Rattus norvegicus: one gene and its partners. The main gene of each other region encodes a partner of the protein of the gene in region 2 in a complex. Links are inferred from orthologs where the notes say so. Each region holds a gene or a part of one and is shown on either strand. Other genes may lie near its edges.

Region 1 (4,044 bases), on a different chromosome or scaffold from region 2:
AACCTCATGGTTTTCACCTTGATTGGCAGGATACTGCTTATGAGGATATGAATCTGGTGCGTTTTGAGGTCCCTTCTCCTTAAGATTCTCTTTTGAAGTAGGCATATGCAGCACAGGGCCATACTCATTACGAAGCTTGATTGCCATTTTCCGCTTGTGACTATTTAAAAATCATAAACATGAAATGCATCCTTAAATATTAGAAACACATCACCAATGAAAATATTCAGTTAGCAGAACACAAGTACAGAAAGAGATACTGTATTCCAACTCACAGATCCAGGATGTTTTTCAAGTTAACTAGTATTTTAACAAATATGAAATTTCAAAATGTATTTCTATACCATATGTATTTACTTTACCTCACAATCTACCATACAGTAGTCATTTAATCCAAAGCAGGACCATAGTTTGCAGCTGAATAAACACAAAACCTTTTTCAATGAGGTCTCAAGGGTCCAAGTAAATTAAAGACATACATAAACTAATATATCTTTTAAAAAAAACCTTTAAATGTCTGAATATAGTAAAATTTGTATAGACACCTTTATTAGTAATCTAAAAAGTCAGACCCAATGAAAGCACTAAATTAGCTCTGCATTTTAAAGATAAATGTACTTATATTACTTAAAAAGATAATCCACCTTAAAAATTAAATATAAATGCAAATGAGGGGAATTAAGTAGATTATAAAGAAAAAGCAAAGGACAGAGAAAGGCACTGCATACAACACAATCCCAGACTAGGATTGGTGAGAACCAAGAGTATGCCACTTAGAAGTCTTCACTGTACCAAGGAGCACAGATGGGAGAAGAGATACTGGCCAAGAACAATTTCAGCACAACGAGAGTCTGAGAGCAGGAAGCTAAAAGCATGCACAAAGTGATGCACTAGAAATACGATAACGTGACAGGAATGCCCCTAATTACTGGGTACTAGCTACTTTTCTATTGCTGTGGCAAACACCATAATTGAGGTAATTTAGAGAAGAAAGTATTAATTTGGGGGTCATGGTTTAAGAGGCTAGAGTCCTTGACCATCAGAGTAGGGAGCATGAGAGCAGACAGGCAAGCATGGTATTGGAGCAGCAGCTGAGCGCTTACGTCTGATTCACAAGCATGATGTGGGGGTTGTTGGGGGAGGGAGGGAGGTAAGGGAGGAAAGAGGGGGGGAGAAAAGGAGCAATAGATAGGGGAGCTAACTGGGAATGGTGTAGGTTTCTGAAATCTTACAGCTTATCCCCAATGACACACCTCCTCTAACCCTTCCAAAACAGTTCCACCAACAGAGACCAAGCATTTAAATACATGAAACTATGGAGGCCATTCTCTTTCAAATCATCACACTGGGTATCTGTAAACTATAATTAGATTTTTAAAATAGACAAGAGTTATTGTCTGTCTGGCCAGAGCTCAAGAGACAACACACAAAAATAAGCAAAATGAGTTAATGCTATTTGTATTATGATGAAAAGACACTCGCTACTGCCCAAGTATCCTGTGTCTGCATTTTTAAGACCTTTCAAAGTCACCTCCTCTCTGTCACTTTGCGCTCTTCTATCAATATAAAATACTTTAGCAACTGAAAAGGAATAGAACTTACCTCTCTTCATCCAAAGGCACAGGTTTTCCATTATCAGCCACAAACATGTCATGGGTCCTCTTCAATGACCTGAACACTAGTGTGTGCACAGAATGCTTCTGTACCTCCTGTAAAGAGACAATCAAGATCACACATCTAGCTAGAAGAGACCCATACGCTCTAATCAACATTAGATTCATTACGCACTTTACATGCTAAATACATAAAGGCTAACACTCCTCAGTAACTGTGACAAACTACAGCAGCCAACAACAAAGATGAGAAAGCTCCTGTCTGGTCAGAGTTCAAGAGACAACACACAAAAATAAGCAAAATAATTCCACATTTTGGAGGGTTCGATGGGGTGACTCAGAGGGGAAAAAAGAATTGCTAGATATAATCAAGAAAGGTTCTCTCTGGTGACAGGTAAGCAGAGAGGGAGACAGCCTTACAAAGAATAGAGGTTCAAACAGTGCAAGCTCTGGGAGATGCCACTGCGAAGACGTTCATATAATTCAGAACTGCAGCAGTTGTGAATGCTGCGGGAGTGTGGGTTCCGAAGGTCGGTGGGGTTTAGGCCTCTGCCATCACCAACATTTAACACTGGGACAGAAAGCAGCACTGAACTACATTCCTTCAATGTGTTCGTTAATCGTAAGCACTTGGAAGCTATAGAATTCGTCCAGGCAAAAGATGTTGGGCTAGATTAGGAGGACTGCAGTGGATCTGGAACGCAGTGGGTGGGAATAAGAAACGTTTGGGATACGCAAGAACAAACAAAATCAAGCACGGCAAGCTTTAATGGGGTAGAGATGAAATAACTGTGAAACTGACAAGACAGCACGGACTAGCATCCCAGCCAAGGTGGGAGCATCAGAAGCCCCGCCTCCCAGGAAAGGGCCAGATGCCAACAACACACCGACTGCAAGATTCCTTCAGGCTTCCCGCCGACTGAACCTCGGATTCGGGATGTCATCGGCCTTCCTCCCACCCCGACAGCCCAAGACCACCAGTTTTGGCTACAGTTCGCTTCCCCAGATTCCCAGTACTTTCATCCTACTTCCGTGGGCAAAGCTCCAAAGACAAACGACTCCCGAGTGCCCGAGCGTTACTTTACCTCCACCATGTCGCCGCCGTTTAGTCTACCCGTTCAGCAGCGAAGAAACTCCAAATGCTCGACGCAGAAATCGCCGCCACTATTCTGCCGCTCCTTCCGGAGATTGGGGCCTGTCGCCGGACGTGACGCCAACCGCGCATGCGTATTGGCAACCCGCCGCGCAGGGGTCGAGGGGTGGAGTCTAGCGGTGGAGGGCGGAAGCTAGGCGGAGTTGCGCGGAGACTCGTGGCGAAGAGTAGGATCTAGGCAGCTGCTGGGCGGGACTGGGCGGGGTTTGGGGCGGGGAGGGGCGGGTCTCGGCGGAACTGGGCGGAGTCCCCTGGCTGAGGGCGGAGCTTCCAGCCGGAGCGAAGGGAGCGCGGGCCTTAAAGCCCTGTTTAGGGGAGGTACTTGTTTCCGGAAGCTAAGTGCTGCTTAGAGATTCTAAGCAAGCCGTTTTTCAGAAACCATTGGGAACTTAAGTTGTTTTTACTTTATTTGACCTGATGCTAAACTGTTGACGTTTTGTGTTTCACCCAGATAAAATCTGTGGCTTACGTTCGATCGTTTCCAAGTGTTTTCTATATTGATGTAGTTGCTATTTGTGATCTTAAATAAGGCATTTTCACTGATTGTGCATCTTCCTGAACTGTGATTAAGTTCAATGATCCCGTCCTCAGAGAGTACTGCGAATACTTTGAGAAGGGTGAAAATGTAGCGCAGGTATAGCAATGTGAGCCAGTGCTCTCATTCAAATTCAAATATTTTAATTCATAATTATTCACTCAAATTCAAATATTTTAATTCATGAAAACATGAAGGTCGCATTTTTAGCCTGAAAACAGTCATTTCCGTCCTTTTAGTTTGAGCCTTAACTCCTGAGCCGTCTTTGTAGCTAGCCCACAAGTAGGCATTTCTAAATTTAAATGTGAGTTTAGTCAAAGGATCTTATTTTCTGTAAAAGTGGTCAACGTTTGTATACTTTGCAAGAAAATATTAATAACCTAGAAAAGAACATTTTAAATCACAAAACACTAAGGAAATGTTAGAAAGACCTTAACATATCTATGTTAATATGACTACTAGACAGCTCTCATTAAACTTGTTAGATAGTCATCCTGAACACAACTTATGGACAAGGCTCACAACAGCCATCTTAGAGGTAACCACACTAGGTTTTGCTTTTCTTATAACTCTCGAATTATGTCACCCATGTGAAAATTACCTTCTTGGCTTAATAAGGACCTTAAGTGACCCTATTATCTAGTTATGAGATCCATAAATCACATATATCGTAGGCAGATTTCTTGTTCACATAGGAACCTGTGTTCTTCTTGTTTGCTATGGCCTCCCTCCTCCTATTTCCT
Region 2 (4,271 bases):
AAGGTCTGGACAGGAAGCAGAGAGAGAAATGGCAATGTTTGGTGAAACAGGCTAAGCTGCAGGAGCTCCTGGAACTGAGAATGGGAGAGATAGTTGCAGTTTGTTCAGAAGTCAAGGTTGGTGAAGAAAAGGTGCCTTCAAGGGGTCAAGGCAGAGAGCAAACAAATGGCACAGTAATGAGCAATGATGTGCTCAGGATTGGCAAGGACATGGTCACAGTGGAACATGGGTACGAGGGTAGAAAGGCTAGTCAACGGGCAGTGAAGGCCACCATGATTTTTATCTTGACAACAGATTTCAGGAGAACACTCCTATATTTGAAACAATATCCAATTAACACAGAAAACAGACAAAACACTGTTCTTAGCGACAGGAGTACTAGCAGCAAGACCCACATCTAGAACCTCCTGAGACACCCCCTTGACTGTCCTTCCCAGTGAGTGCCTCAGAGAGCTCCCTGGAAAGAAGCTGGAAATTGCTGACACGGCACAGTTCCCTGCTCTCCTCTTCCCAGCTCTCACACGCTGGCTTGCACACTCTTTGCAGACAGTTACTATAGTCGTGGCACTTTACCTTTGAATTTCCTTCAGACTTTCCTCCCATTGTGCGTATTTGATCCAGTTGCTAATCACAGTTCTGTTTTTTCTTATATTATCTTCGAAAGTCTGAAAGGCAAAAGGGGAGTGAAGAGAGTGTATCAAAGAGAAAATGACTTTGCTTCCCCCTTGTAATATACAGCACTCATTTTATTCTTTCTAAGAGAAAATATATCCTAGATGCTGAGGAACAAGAACCTTCCTCCAGAAGGGGGACAATGACAGGTGTTTCTCTAAAGTTTATGGTGACATCAAGAAAAATGTAAGGTGTGTCTTTTAGAACGCTTTGCTGTTCTCCGTAGCAATTAACAACGAGTGCTTTAATAAATTCTACTCTCATTAAGAATAAGAATGTTGAAACAACTTTTAACATTACCTTCAAGTGCTCGGTAACTCGTAGAATTTTACGTATGACTTCCACGATATTAGTGCATTAAATAATCCCAAATACTAGCCTGAGGTCCGATCACATAGGCCCTTTCAGAGTTCTCTCCCAGGCCCTCGCTCCTACTGTGGGGGGCGACTTGGACAGACGTACGCAGTGCATTCTTAACAGACTCACCTTCCTTTTCCGTAGTTTGTAATCGTTTAGTTCTTCCTCGTCTGTGATCTTCTGCTGAGGTGGGGGTGGGAGGAGCTCGAGCTCTCTTTCTTTAGCCTCCCTTAAGAGCTGCTCTGCGGTTATCTGCACCTCTGCTGGCGCTTTGTTCTTCACCTGTTAGGACAAAGAGACATTCCTGCTTTTGGGTAGTGTTCTCCACACAAGATCTAAGAATGAGTCCAAGATGCCATCTTTGAATGACACCCTCAATTCTCCATGAGACAGAACCGGGGGCAGGGGGAAAATCGTACCACTTCCTCTTTATCACCTGCTCAGAGAACTAACTCCTCTAACCCCTCGAGTGGACAAATTGGTTTTCCATGACATTTTAGGCCAACTGAAACTGTTCTTTTTACAAAGTCTCCACCAATAGCCTGTAAGCGCTTTAGTTCCAACACGGTAGCCACAAGTCAAACGTGTTCAAGGTAGATGGACCCTGAGTGCAAACATACTGTTCTAATTTGCTTTCTTACTGCTGTGATAGAACAACACCAACAAAAACAACCCGCAGAGGAGAGAGCTGATTGACTGGCTTACACAACTGGACCACGAGTCCATCATGAAAGGAAGTCAGGGCAGGAAGCCGGAGGCATGACTGATATACAAGCTAAGCTCAGTCTGTTCTTACATACTACTCTGTACCACCTGCCCAGGTATGGCACTGCCCAAGTAGGGTGGGCCCTCTGCACCAATCAGTAACTTGCATACAAGCAATCTTATGGATGAATTTTCTTAGTCCAGACTCCTCTTTCTAGATAACTTGAGCTTGTGTCGAGCTGTCAAAAAATCTAGCCAGGACACATACCATGGTTTTTATGACTCAGGATGCAGGGGAAAAGCTACCACATTAGATTTTTACAATTACATGTGGAAATAAGAACCTGTCTCAAGACCAAAAGGCCCTAGAAGAATCAAACCAGAGAAAGATTGTATGCAATGGCTAAGTGCAAGACTTGATATTCATTAAGCATTGGTGAAGTATCAGCCACCGTTGGAAATAGAATAATTTACTGTCCAACCTAAATGATGCCATTGCACAGAGCCTGTCCTCTCCCATCCCCTCCACTGCCTAACTTTGACGCAGCCTTCCAGTGTTAGCTTCCTTCACAAAGCTTACCCTCAAGTTTACTGGCACCCTTCTGGTTCTTGCCTATAGCATAGTCTACGGGACTAGGCTACATCTATCAAGGTTGCTATTTCGCCCTTCCTCCAGTTTTATTGGAGCACTGTAGCCTCGAGTAAAAGTAGGGGACCCCCAGAGACTAGGAAAAGCAATGAGTTTACCGAACCGAACTGATGCTTTGCATCACAAAAATACCACCCTGGAACGAAGGCTGGGCAGACGCGAGACGAACTCGGAGTGACAAGACCCCGTGCCACCTCACCATGGACCACCTGTCTTCTTGGACCAGGGCACAAAGATCTCTGTCCGGAATCTCTAGTGCCCCACACCACAGATGCTGTGCTTGAGGCTCCTCGAGGTCGCTTACCTTGGCCACTTTAGGAATCCGCTGTTTCCCGGCTGCCGTGGAAGCCGCCATGATTGTAGCCGCGGAACGCGAGCGACCCTGGCCCACACCCGGACTTCAGATACACGCCTCAAAATCCCGCGGCCAGCACCACAGAGCCAGCCCACAACAAACTAGATCCCGGAACCGGAACCGGAACTTGCCAAGGCGACCTTTGACCGCCTCACCAGTCAGGGGAAACGCCGCGTCGTTTCCGTAGCAACCGTGTGCGCGTCCTCAGAGGAGCAGCGCCGCTTGCTGGGACTGCGGGTGAGGTGGGTAGCGCGGGCTGCGCCGCAGGGACATGGGGTTCGGGCGGCGAGGGCTCACCCAGGTCCGTCTCTAAGATGCGTGCAGCTGTAGGTAGTGGCACCTGACAAGGGGCGTAGGAACCCATCTCGGAAGTGGAAACAAGAGGGAGAAGGGAAGAGCGCGGAGGAAACCACAGCCTTGCAAGCAGCTGCCAGGGCAGCGGTGCATGCTGGGATTTGTAGTCTCTGAGTCCCCGCCCCCTCGTCTCGGGCTTCCTCGCGATTGGGCCAAGTTAATGATCTTGAAACGTGGATTTTTTTTTTTTTTTTTTAAATAGAGGTATTTTTGCAACAAGATGTTAGAGAAAGGTGGAAATTAGTAGCAAAGCATCTACAGAAACTGGTACATTTGGTACAAAAACCAAATTTTTAGTCTGTAAATTTGTTTTCATTATTTCAATTCTGTTATCCTTTGACTATAAAATGAGAGAAATACCTATTTCCTTAAGATTAAAGAGAAAATCTGTCTATGTAAAGTGCTCGCTAGATGTTAGTATGTATACTATCCGACGTACATTCAGAAACAGAGTTACTGAGCATATAGTTAAGATAATTTTTTTAAATAAAAATTTTGAGATTGACGGTAAAATTGGGAAGGTGAGCTTCTCCTACTCCCTCTTTCCCCACCCTCAAAGGGCTTTCTACGATCCATTCCCACCCCTACGGTGGTTCATCGTCAGCATTGGTGAATTTACACTGACACATTATCAGTTAAAGGCTGTTACAGTTCACCCTTGTACTGTCTGAGATTTAGGACAAAGGCAAGATAGTCTGTGTCTGCTGTTTCTATAATCTACAGAGTTCCAAGCCATTAAGATCCTCAGGGTACTGCCTGTTCATCCTTCTCCCCTTGAGCCTTTGACTGCCAATACTCAATTTTTAATTTTTTTAAAGATTTATTATTTATATGAGTACACTGTCACTGTCTTTAGACATACTAGAAGAGGGCATCAGATCCCATTACAGATGGTTGGTTGTGAGCCACCATGTGGGTGCTGGAAATTGAACTCAGGACCTCTGGAAGAGCAGTCAGTTCTCTTAACCGCTGAGCCATCTCTCCAGCCCAATACTCATTTTTGTAAGCATTTTTTAAAAATTCTTTGAGTTTTGCATTTTAATCATAGTCACTCCTCCAGCTTTCCCCGGGATCTACCCCATTCCCTATCTACCCAACTTTGTGTCCTTTTGGTTTTCAACCTTTTAAGACCAATTTGTGTTGCCCAGATATTTTTGGATATGTGGTCTTCCATTGGAG
Region 3 (4,160 bases), on a different chromosome or scaffold from region 2:
GATATGAATTCACAGGGGAATCCGGTCCTCTTTGTGTTTAATGGACGAGAGAGTCATCATCTAACACTGCACTCTGCAAACAGTGAAGCCCTAGAGCTGTGTCCACAAGCACTTGATCCAGCTCCTGTTTCCTACTGGCAAGCAGTACCTGTGGTGTTCCGGGCCCCGTCCTTCCATGTGTCTGGAGTGATAACCCTGCCGAGTTTCTTTTCACCTGTTGTAGCAAGATAGCAAAAGAGTACAACTGTCATCTAATACACACACTGTGTGGAAATAAAATAACAAAACGCATTTCTCTGCTAACGTTACAATAATAATTTAAAATAATAAATATACTGTATTATGCCTGAAGTACATAATGACATGAAAAGTGAGACTACAGTAGGAACCTACTAACACCAGGGTAGAAATCAATGAATGAATGATAGCAACTGTGGGCAACAGATACTGGTTCTAAATAAAACTTCCAGGACAACAAGATGCCCTACCAACAGGTTCCACTGATTATACTTTAAACAATTCTGACAAACGTATTCATTTCTCCCACATTCTCTAATCACCTAGTCTGTACAAAGCACTGTGGGAGGTACTGAGGAAAACAAAGCCATGAGTCTAGATTCAGGGGCTTAGACCCAAGTTCACGAGCTCCTTAAGAGCTTGTAGGCTGATAGCTGGGAGGAAACGAAGCAGGCGGGACTGCACAGAAACCTAGAGCATGTGCTTATAACCTTTTCTTGTTCTGACTGGAGCCTTTCTGAAAAGTGAAGAAGCCTTCAGTAGAACCATAAGCTGGAAGCCTGAGCTGTGAACTAAGGAGATGGAGCTTAAGTGTTGGGAAAGTAGATGAGGAGATGAAGTCAAACAGTAAATAAAGGACACATCCCCAGGTCAGGCATGGGAAGCTCAGGGGTACCACAGTGCACAGAGTACTCTGGCGAGCTCAGTGTGAGGTGGGAGAAAGGAGGTTGGAAGGATAGCTTAGGTGTTTGTCTGTAGAGGGCCTCGGACGTCAAGATCCAAATGGACAGTTACTTCTTAGAGTTTAAGTAGGGAAAAGGTCAGGTGGAGAGGTGAACTGGATACTCAGTGGTATGGATGTGCTAGCTGAGGTCAACCATTTCCCAAAGATCTAATGGATCAAGAGAAACAAAGCAGACCAAGACAAACACCCTGGAACCCAGTAAATGGAAGAGAACTCTAAAAATTTGGAGACAAAGAACTTTTTGAGCAACTTATGACAGAAGGAAAGGCAGAACTGAGGTGGCTGCCTGACAGTACAGCTTCTGTATGAGCAGGAGTTCAGTTTACATACAGGGTGAGTGTAATGAGCACACAGACTAGGAGGTTACAAATAGTAAAACATTAGATTTTTCAGAAGAGCAGAGGAGTAACTATAATAGAAAGAAATGGCCTTTTACTGCACAGCACAAAGGACAGGGTCATATCTACATTTAGGCCACATTTAATTAAACACTTTCCCCACTTTCAAAAAGAATAAAAAGCTGTTTGAGAATGGAGCTGATGAAGGTAGCTAGGAGTGGTCTTCCCGAGGGAAGGGCATACCAATTGGTTGTCCAGTGCTAATGGTCAGCCCGGAAACATACATCCAAGTAACAATATATGAACTGAGCAGGCTGCATTTATAAAACAACTATATACATGTATGCATTCAATACAATTAGTGAAAAAAGAGGTCAGGAATTTGATGGATATATGGGAGAGTTTAGAGGGAGGAAATGGAAGAAAGAAATGTTGCAATTATATTATCTCAAAAATAATAAAGAAATAGAATTTACTGGAAAAAAAAAGAATGGTGGCTGAGTCTGATGCCACAGCTACTAGGTGGTGTCTGTGTCCAGAGTTCTATGTACTGTGGTTGTATATATTAGCCATTAACTGAGATCCAAGTTGGAATCTTGTCAGAGAAGGCTGTCTAGCCCAAGAAAGAGATCAAGAAAAGAAAGCTGTTTTAAACAAATCAACAGCTTTTGCAGTAAAAAACAAAAAACAGAAAACGAAAAAACAAAACAATAAGTATTTTCAACAAATCTCAGGGGTTTCATTGGAATTACTGAATGGTAACTTAAAGAGTTAAAAAGACCTTTCTAAAAGCCAGGGATGACTACATAGATTTCTTTGGTGGTGATGAGACTCTCTCCTTCACCTGACCTAATGCTGTATTAATGAACTGACGGGATGGTATAAGATATTCAATTAAACTTAATTTCAGATGACCACTGAATTAATTTTTAAAGTAAAATCTGTATTAAATGCGGCATGTTTTGTAGTAAGGAACAGCGAACAAAAGCCAAGATTTAAATATTATGCGGGACATATTAATAATACTAGAAATTAATCATTGCCTATAATCTTATAATGTAACTGAGAGCCTGGGATTTATATTTGTTACACCTGGCAACTCTAGATGCTACCAGAAAGATTTTTAAGTCTCTGGGATCCTGTCAAGAAGTTATAATTAAAGAGATCCAAGGAGGGCGCGAGGACGGTGACAGAAACAAGCATAGATGTGCAGAACTGAGACCATTCTGAACACAAAGCATAGGGCTATAGGGTCCCGGGATAGGCAAGGACCGTGGGGCAAGGAAGGAAGACAAAGGTTATACTACAGACCGGTGAGAAAAAACAAAGGCCGAAATCCCAAGAGAATTTCGTCGGGTTCCTCCAGCCTCCACCTCCCACAGAAGCAGCGCCTTAACTTACACTTTTCACACACCATCCTTCCACGGGTCGTCCTGTCCCCCTCAACCCGCAAAGCAGGAGCAGCTGCCAAAATACATCAACAACACAGCTGAGAAGACTTCCTCTTCCGGTTACGTCAGTTCGCTTCCGTACTCAGCCCTCCCGCTCCGGCCTATCCAGGATGGAGAAAGTCGCGGGAGGGATAAACGCGAGCTCATGGGCGGGGCTTCCTTTATCGGTCCGCCTCTTCTCTTCAACGATTGGCTATCCGCTTGTGAGTCCCCCGCCTTCTGGTCTGCGCCTGCGCGAGGGGCCATGGCAGCCTGTCGCACCTGAGGGTGGGAGGCGGTGGTGTCCCCTTCCCTTCGGCGGGCGGGAGAGTTAGGTAAGCGGGAGGGATGCTTCCTAAGTTCTCCTGGGGCAGGTGCAGGTCGCTCTGCGGACTGCTGCCGTGGCTTCCAAGGCGCCACGCTTCCGGCGGGCCAGAGGATGCATGGCGCGACGGACCCTCTGAGATCCCGGCGTCTGTCGGCGGGACCGACCCTCTGTCACCGTCTCTCAGGTTACCGGGTCGGCCGCCCGGGCTCTCTCTGATGATGCCCCTCAGTTGCCCACACTCGCGCTGTCCGGGGTTGGGACAGAGTCACCTGGGTGGGGTTGAGCCGCGGTCAGCGCCCGGGCAAAGGCTGCTCAGGAGGGTTCGGGAGCAGCCATGCCTTCCCACCGGGCTCTCGTGGGATCGCGACTCCGAAGGGCGGCTTCCCAGGTGTGGCGTGCTAGGGAAACTCGCCCGCCGGTGCCCGAGGAAGGGCTCCATTCAACCGGCCTTTGCGTTTGGGCACGGCTCGCCGTGTTAGATAGGGATTTGCAGGTGGCCCAGAGACAAGCTCTACTTAGAGGATGGATTTCTGATCCCCCTACCTGCCCGATCCCTCAGTGGAGGGGAGAATCTGAGAAACTTTTCCGAAGTCTTTTCATTGTTATCCGTTCTTGTCCGGACCCCGGAGGGTGTCTTCATGTTAAAGAGGCGATACTTGAAATGGCTTTAGTGTGTGTAACCTTGGCCGCTTCTGCTAACTTGTTTAGCCGGTTTGCTTAATCAGTACCATATTTGCCTTTGAAAACGATAGTGTGAATTAAATGAGGGCAAATAGGACAACGCCCAGACTTGCACTTTTACGTTCCCTGTTAATTTCTCCTCCTTTTGTGTGGATGTTCCTTTTTGGGCCGGATTTTTACCACATTGTAACAATTGCTAAAGTTCTTAATTAATTTTAGTCAATATAACATAAAAAATGTTCTTTAGGTCAAACACATGTATTTAGGGACTGTAAACCTTTGCTTCTCCTCCCACTTACGTTCTGCTTTTAGTAGGATTTAGCATCTGTAACAGACAGTGGGCCCCTAGTTTATCATAATGACCATCTTACTCTGGTTCTGCACCATTTGCATACCTAAGT
Region 4 (4,060 bases), on a different chromosome or scaffold from region 2:
AGAGAAGGGGCAATACTGCATCTTCCTGAATGCCTGTCTGTTCCAATGTAAGCCCATGCAGAACGAAGCTCAGTAAAAATGACAGAAACGGACTAAAGTCCCTCAGACAGACTCTCAAATGATCCAAGCTTTGGGATCTCCCATGTGGTAATTCTCTGGAACCTTATCTAACCTGGGACTGAGCTAGACTCTAGCCTTCCCCATGCATGGATGTCATTCAGCCTAGAATTAAATGGTTTTCATGGCTTTTTGAGGCAGGGTCTCACTCCAAGTGATCTTCCTACCTCAGCCTCTTATAGAGGTGTACAACTCCACACCCAGCTTGAAATGCTTTGTTGCTGTTACAAAAATACTCTATGGAAGCAAACTGTTCTATGCACCCAGGAGATAGGTAACAACAGAGGACTTACTGTGAGAACACACAGATGATGTCTCCTTCTGTCAGTTCATAAGGAAGCCCTCCTAGAAGAAAACAAACACTTGGGTTCAACAAACATTAAGCAAGTGTTTACTGCATGCTAGGCACTGGAGGTACAGATTAAACAAGCCACAATCTCAAATATATCAGTCTAATCCAATGATAGAATGAGTGGGTATAGTGACAGTAGTCCGGAAGGAAAGTAATTAACTCTCAGATCTCTGTGAGTTCCAGGCAAGCCTGGTCTACACAGTGGTTTCATAGTAAAACTCTGCCTCAAAGAAAGAGAGAAAGAAAGGAAGAAAGAGGGAGAGGGAGGTACAGAGGGAGGGAGGGGGGAAGAGAGAGAGAGAGAAAAGGAGGGAAGGAGGGAAGGAGGGAGGGAAGAAGGAAGGGAGGGAGAGAGAGAAAAAAAGGAGAAAAGGAAGGGAAAGGAGGGAAAGAAAAGAAGAGAAGAGAAAGAGAAAAAAATAGTAACTCTGAGTGGAAAGGCTGGGGTCATCACTCACCAAATTAATTTTATCTTTGAATCCTCACATCCAAAAATCCTATAAAGCAGGTGATTTCCTGCACAAGACTCAATCTCATAAACAGCAAGTTTAAGTATACTATTATTACCCTCACTTATGTGCAAGCTAAGATTTATAAGGGATAATATTAAGCATTTCATAGGAAACAATTTCCCCTCCCTCCATGTTTTCCCTCAAGTGTAAAAATGGGATGGTATCATATTTGCCTCACAGGAGTGTTAGAGAAATAAAGTAAAATGAGGAATATAAAGTGCTTAACACAATACCTATTACAACAGCCTCTTTCCAAAGGTAAACTGCAGGATTTTGGTTGGGACATAAAGTGAATACAGGATAATAATATTGTCACCAGAGAGTTAAGAGTTCCCCTTTTACAAAGGCTAGTAATGTCTTATCTTGATAATATAATTCTAAAGCAGACTAAGGAGGAAGCTTGAGGTCCATTTTATTAGCATTTGAGAGAGAGCTGATAGGGAAGCAAGTTGTAAGCTTCAGCAGCTACTGGGATGAAGGAGCTGCAGAAGAAGCAGCCATGCCTTCTGAATTAGCGGTCAAGCAAGCAGCAATGCACAGAGATGGAGGTAGAGGAGTGGTTCAAGGGGATAGGAGAGCCTTTAGATTTGGAATGAGACAGTCCAAAGTGTTCCGGGCAAGCATGTTCAGGATTCCAGCCAGCATCCAGAGAATGGACAGAAAGGGAGGGCAGGGGATAAGTGAGAACTCAGAATAACAGGTAGACTTAACACAGAGACCAGTAACAACTGCACTGGGGATCATTTCCCTCCCATGTCCTTAGCGTGTCTTTAGATGACTGAGCTTTCCTGACAGGTGACTCCTGGCCAGAAAATTTAAAGCCTGTTGGATTGTCTTAAGGAAGGGGAACACAAGCATGTAACATTTAGGATTCCTGAAAATGTCCCGGTATCTACCCAGGGCCAGGGGTGTAATCCAGACTGTATTCTTTTCATCAGTAGTTTTCCCTTAATGAACAACAAAGCTCACATCCCTCCACATTTTCAGATAGCCTTTCAAATGTTAAGCAGGAGAAACCCTCAATGTCGTCCAAGCCAGTTAATGTCTGTTCTGGTACCTAACAATACAACAAAGAACTGGGAGAAGCAGCCACTTACAAGAGGAAAATAATTCTGAGAAACGGCAGATAATAGACATGCAATAAGGACTAAGAACACAGCCCTATAGTTTTGAGTGATGCAGCACCTTAAGCAAGCCCAGTAACCCCTGTGCGCCTCAGTTTCCTTGACATCACTATGGGTTGCCTGGGGAGTTAACTGTCTCTAAGCAACCAAGTGGCAAGATTTTTCATATAATGAATGGCAAATACCAATTTCTAAGCAGTATCATAGGGGCCAAGTGAAAAAGGAACCTGTGAGCAGACTAGCTGCAAGAGTGTGAGGTGACGAGCAGCGTGTTCAGAGGTGACGACCAGGGGCGCTAAACAACCAGGAGGAAGGGGGAGGAGGGGAGGGGAGGTACAGACTCTGAAAGGCACTGCTAGAGAAAAATGTAGACCTCACCAAGAAAGATCCAGGCGCTGTCTTTGTATTCCGAGTGCCAAGACACCTTTTCTGCCACCCCAAGTTGAACCTCTCGCTCATTCAGTTCGTTGATCAGCTTCACCTTAGTTAAAGGGCTGTGCGGGAGAAGGGAAAGACGTTTAAGTACATTTCCTCACAGCCCGCCTTCTACGTACCGGTCGTCTCCCGCCCCGAGGCCCTGAAGGCGAGGACCTGTCCCCGCCCTTATGGGCGGCCCTCCTCAATCCATTCTCCCTTCCTCAGAGAAACTCCCTCCCCTGTCCTCAGAGAAACTAAATCCTTACTTCATATTCGCATCTTCGCGCTCCGCTCTTAAGACATCAGCTTCCGGGTGAGGCTCCGAAGCGCGCGCGCAACCCGAACACTCAGCTCAGATTGGAGCCAACGGAAATGGAGGCGGGACTTCCGGCGCGCTAAGCCTCGGCACATGCGCAGTAACGCAAACGCGCTTTCTCACGCTTTTGCTCCAGGGGCGAAATAGTTCCCTAGTTATTCCCTGCTTCCCTTTTTGGTGTAGCTCGAAGGTGGGAACCTGGGCGTTACAGTGGATCCGTGTGCTTCTGCAGTCTGAATTAAATGCCCACAGATTTAAATAACGGATGTGGCCTTTTTCCAGAGGCAGGCAAAAATTAGCATTGTCAAATTAGTACCTAACAATTGAAGAGTTAGAGAATGTAAAGGTTCCAAATGATAGAAAATTTATGCATGTTGTCTCTGTTAGGTCTCAAACCCAGGCTAAGTCTCACACCAGTGGCTGCCCCTACCCTAAACCTCTGCCTCCAAGGGGCTCAGTTTCTGCCATTTTCATTTTTCATTCAATCTCTGTTTCTTTACATACAGGGTTTCTTTGTGTAGCCCTAGCTGTCTTGGACATCGCTCTGTAGACCAAGCTGGCCTCCCAACAACCCCATGAAATACAGTTACCACCCCTACTTTACAGAGGAAAAAAAAACTGAGCTTCAACAAATTAGCTTGAATGTCTAGGGAGGTGGTTCAGTGGTTAAGACCATTTGGTGATTTTTCCAGAGAACCTGTATTCAGATCCCAGCACCCAAAACAAGTGGCTCACAACTCCAACTTCAGAAGATCCATCCTCCTCCTCTGGTTTCTGTGGGCATTTGCACTCCCATGGCATGCACAGATATACATACACATGAGTAAAACTAATAAATCTTTTAAAATTTGCTTAACTTGAAATGTCTTGAGCTTGTACCAATCAGGTCAGGCTAATTTAATCATCCCTTATTGAGCATCTAAATTTGTTCTGTACAGTTGGTCTATAGAAGGAATCTGGAGGACTGGTTTTCTGCATGCATAGAACTAATGGTATAAGGGGAAATCTATATGTACTTGAATACTTCATATCATAATTATCATATAATTAATAATTATTCATATCACAATTATCCAGAAATCAGTATGTAAACAGAAAATAGGAGTTCCTTTTTGTGAGTGTTAGGGTCCAAGAGTAGCAGAAGAATGATACCCCCCAGACTCAAATAGTATACAAAAGCAAAGAGTGTTTATTCAGCAGAATTTCCTGCATGCAAGAGTCT

What was found. Proteins that work in one complex are often made in the same cells at the same time.
Region 1: Crnkl1 (region 2) and Plrg1 share a complex: the UniProt entries of both Homo sapiens proteins name them as parts of the minor spliceosome. The link is inferred for Rattus norvegicus from reciprocal best matches to the Homo sapiens genes CRNKL1 and PLRG1.
Region 3: Crnkl1 (region 2) and Cript share a complex: the UniProt entries of both Homo sapiens proteins name them as parts of the minor spliceosome. The link is inferred for Rattus norvegicus from reciprocal best matches to the Homo sapiens genes CRNKL1 and CRIPT.
Region 4: Crnkl1 (region 2) and Rbmx2 share a complex: the UniProt entries of both Homo sapiens proteins name them as parts of the minor spliceosome. The link is inferred for Rattus norvegicus from reciprocal best matches to the Homo sapiens genes CRNKL1 and RBMX2.

What each region holds. Positions count from the first base shown.
Region 1 is NC_086020.1:170,704,944-170,708,987, reverse strand, and holds the start of Plrg1 (pleiotropic regulator 1), read right to left. Parts: upstream 2,801-4,044; 5' UTR 2,708-2,800; coding exon 2,699-2,707; intron 1,710-2,698; coding exon 1,603-1,709; intron 161-1,602; coding exon 18-160; intron 1-17. UniProt on the Homo sapiens protein: Involved in pre-mRNA splicing as component of the spliceosome. Component of the PRP19-CDC5L complex that forms an integral part of the spliceosome and is required for activating pre-mRNA splicing.
Region 2 is NC_086021.1:153,804,791-153,809,061, forward strand, and holds the start of Crnkl1 (crooked neck-like protein 1), read right to left. Parts: upstream 2,825-4,271; 5' UTR 2,739-2,824; coding exon 2,688-2,738; intron 1,312-2,687; coding exon 1,159-1,311; intron 666-1,158; coding exon 574-665; intron 1-573. UniProt on the Homo sapiens protein: Involved in pre-mRNA splicing process. As a component of the minor spliceosome, involved in the splicing of U12-type introns in pre-mRNAs.
Region 3 is NC_086024.1:13,340,135-13,344,294, forward strand, and holds the start of Cript (cysteine-rich PDZ-binding protein), read right to left. Parts: upstream 2,801-4,160; 5' UTR 2,738-2,800; coding exon 2,722-2,737; intron 215-2,721; coding exon 149-214; intron 1-148. UniProt on the Homo sapiens protein: As a component of the minor spliceosome, involved in the splicing of U12-type introns in pre-mRNAs. Involved in the cytoskeletal anchoring of DLG4 in excitatory synapses.
Region 4 is NC_086039.1:132,765,135-132,769,194, reverse strand, and holds the start of Rbmx2 (RNA-binding motif protein, X-linked 2), read right to left. Parts: upstream 2,801-4,060; 5' UTR 2,794-2,800; coding exon 2,789-2,793; intron 2,600-2,788; coding exon 2,484-2,599; intron 463-2,483; coding exon 411-462; intron 1-410. UniProt on the Homo sapiens protein: Involved in pre-mRNA splicing as component of the activated spliceosome. As a component of the minor spliceosome, involved in the splicing of U12-type introns in pre-mRNAs.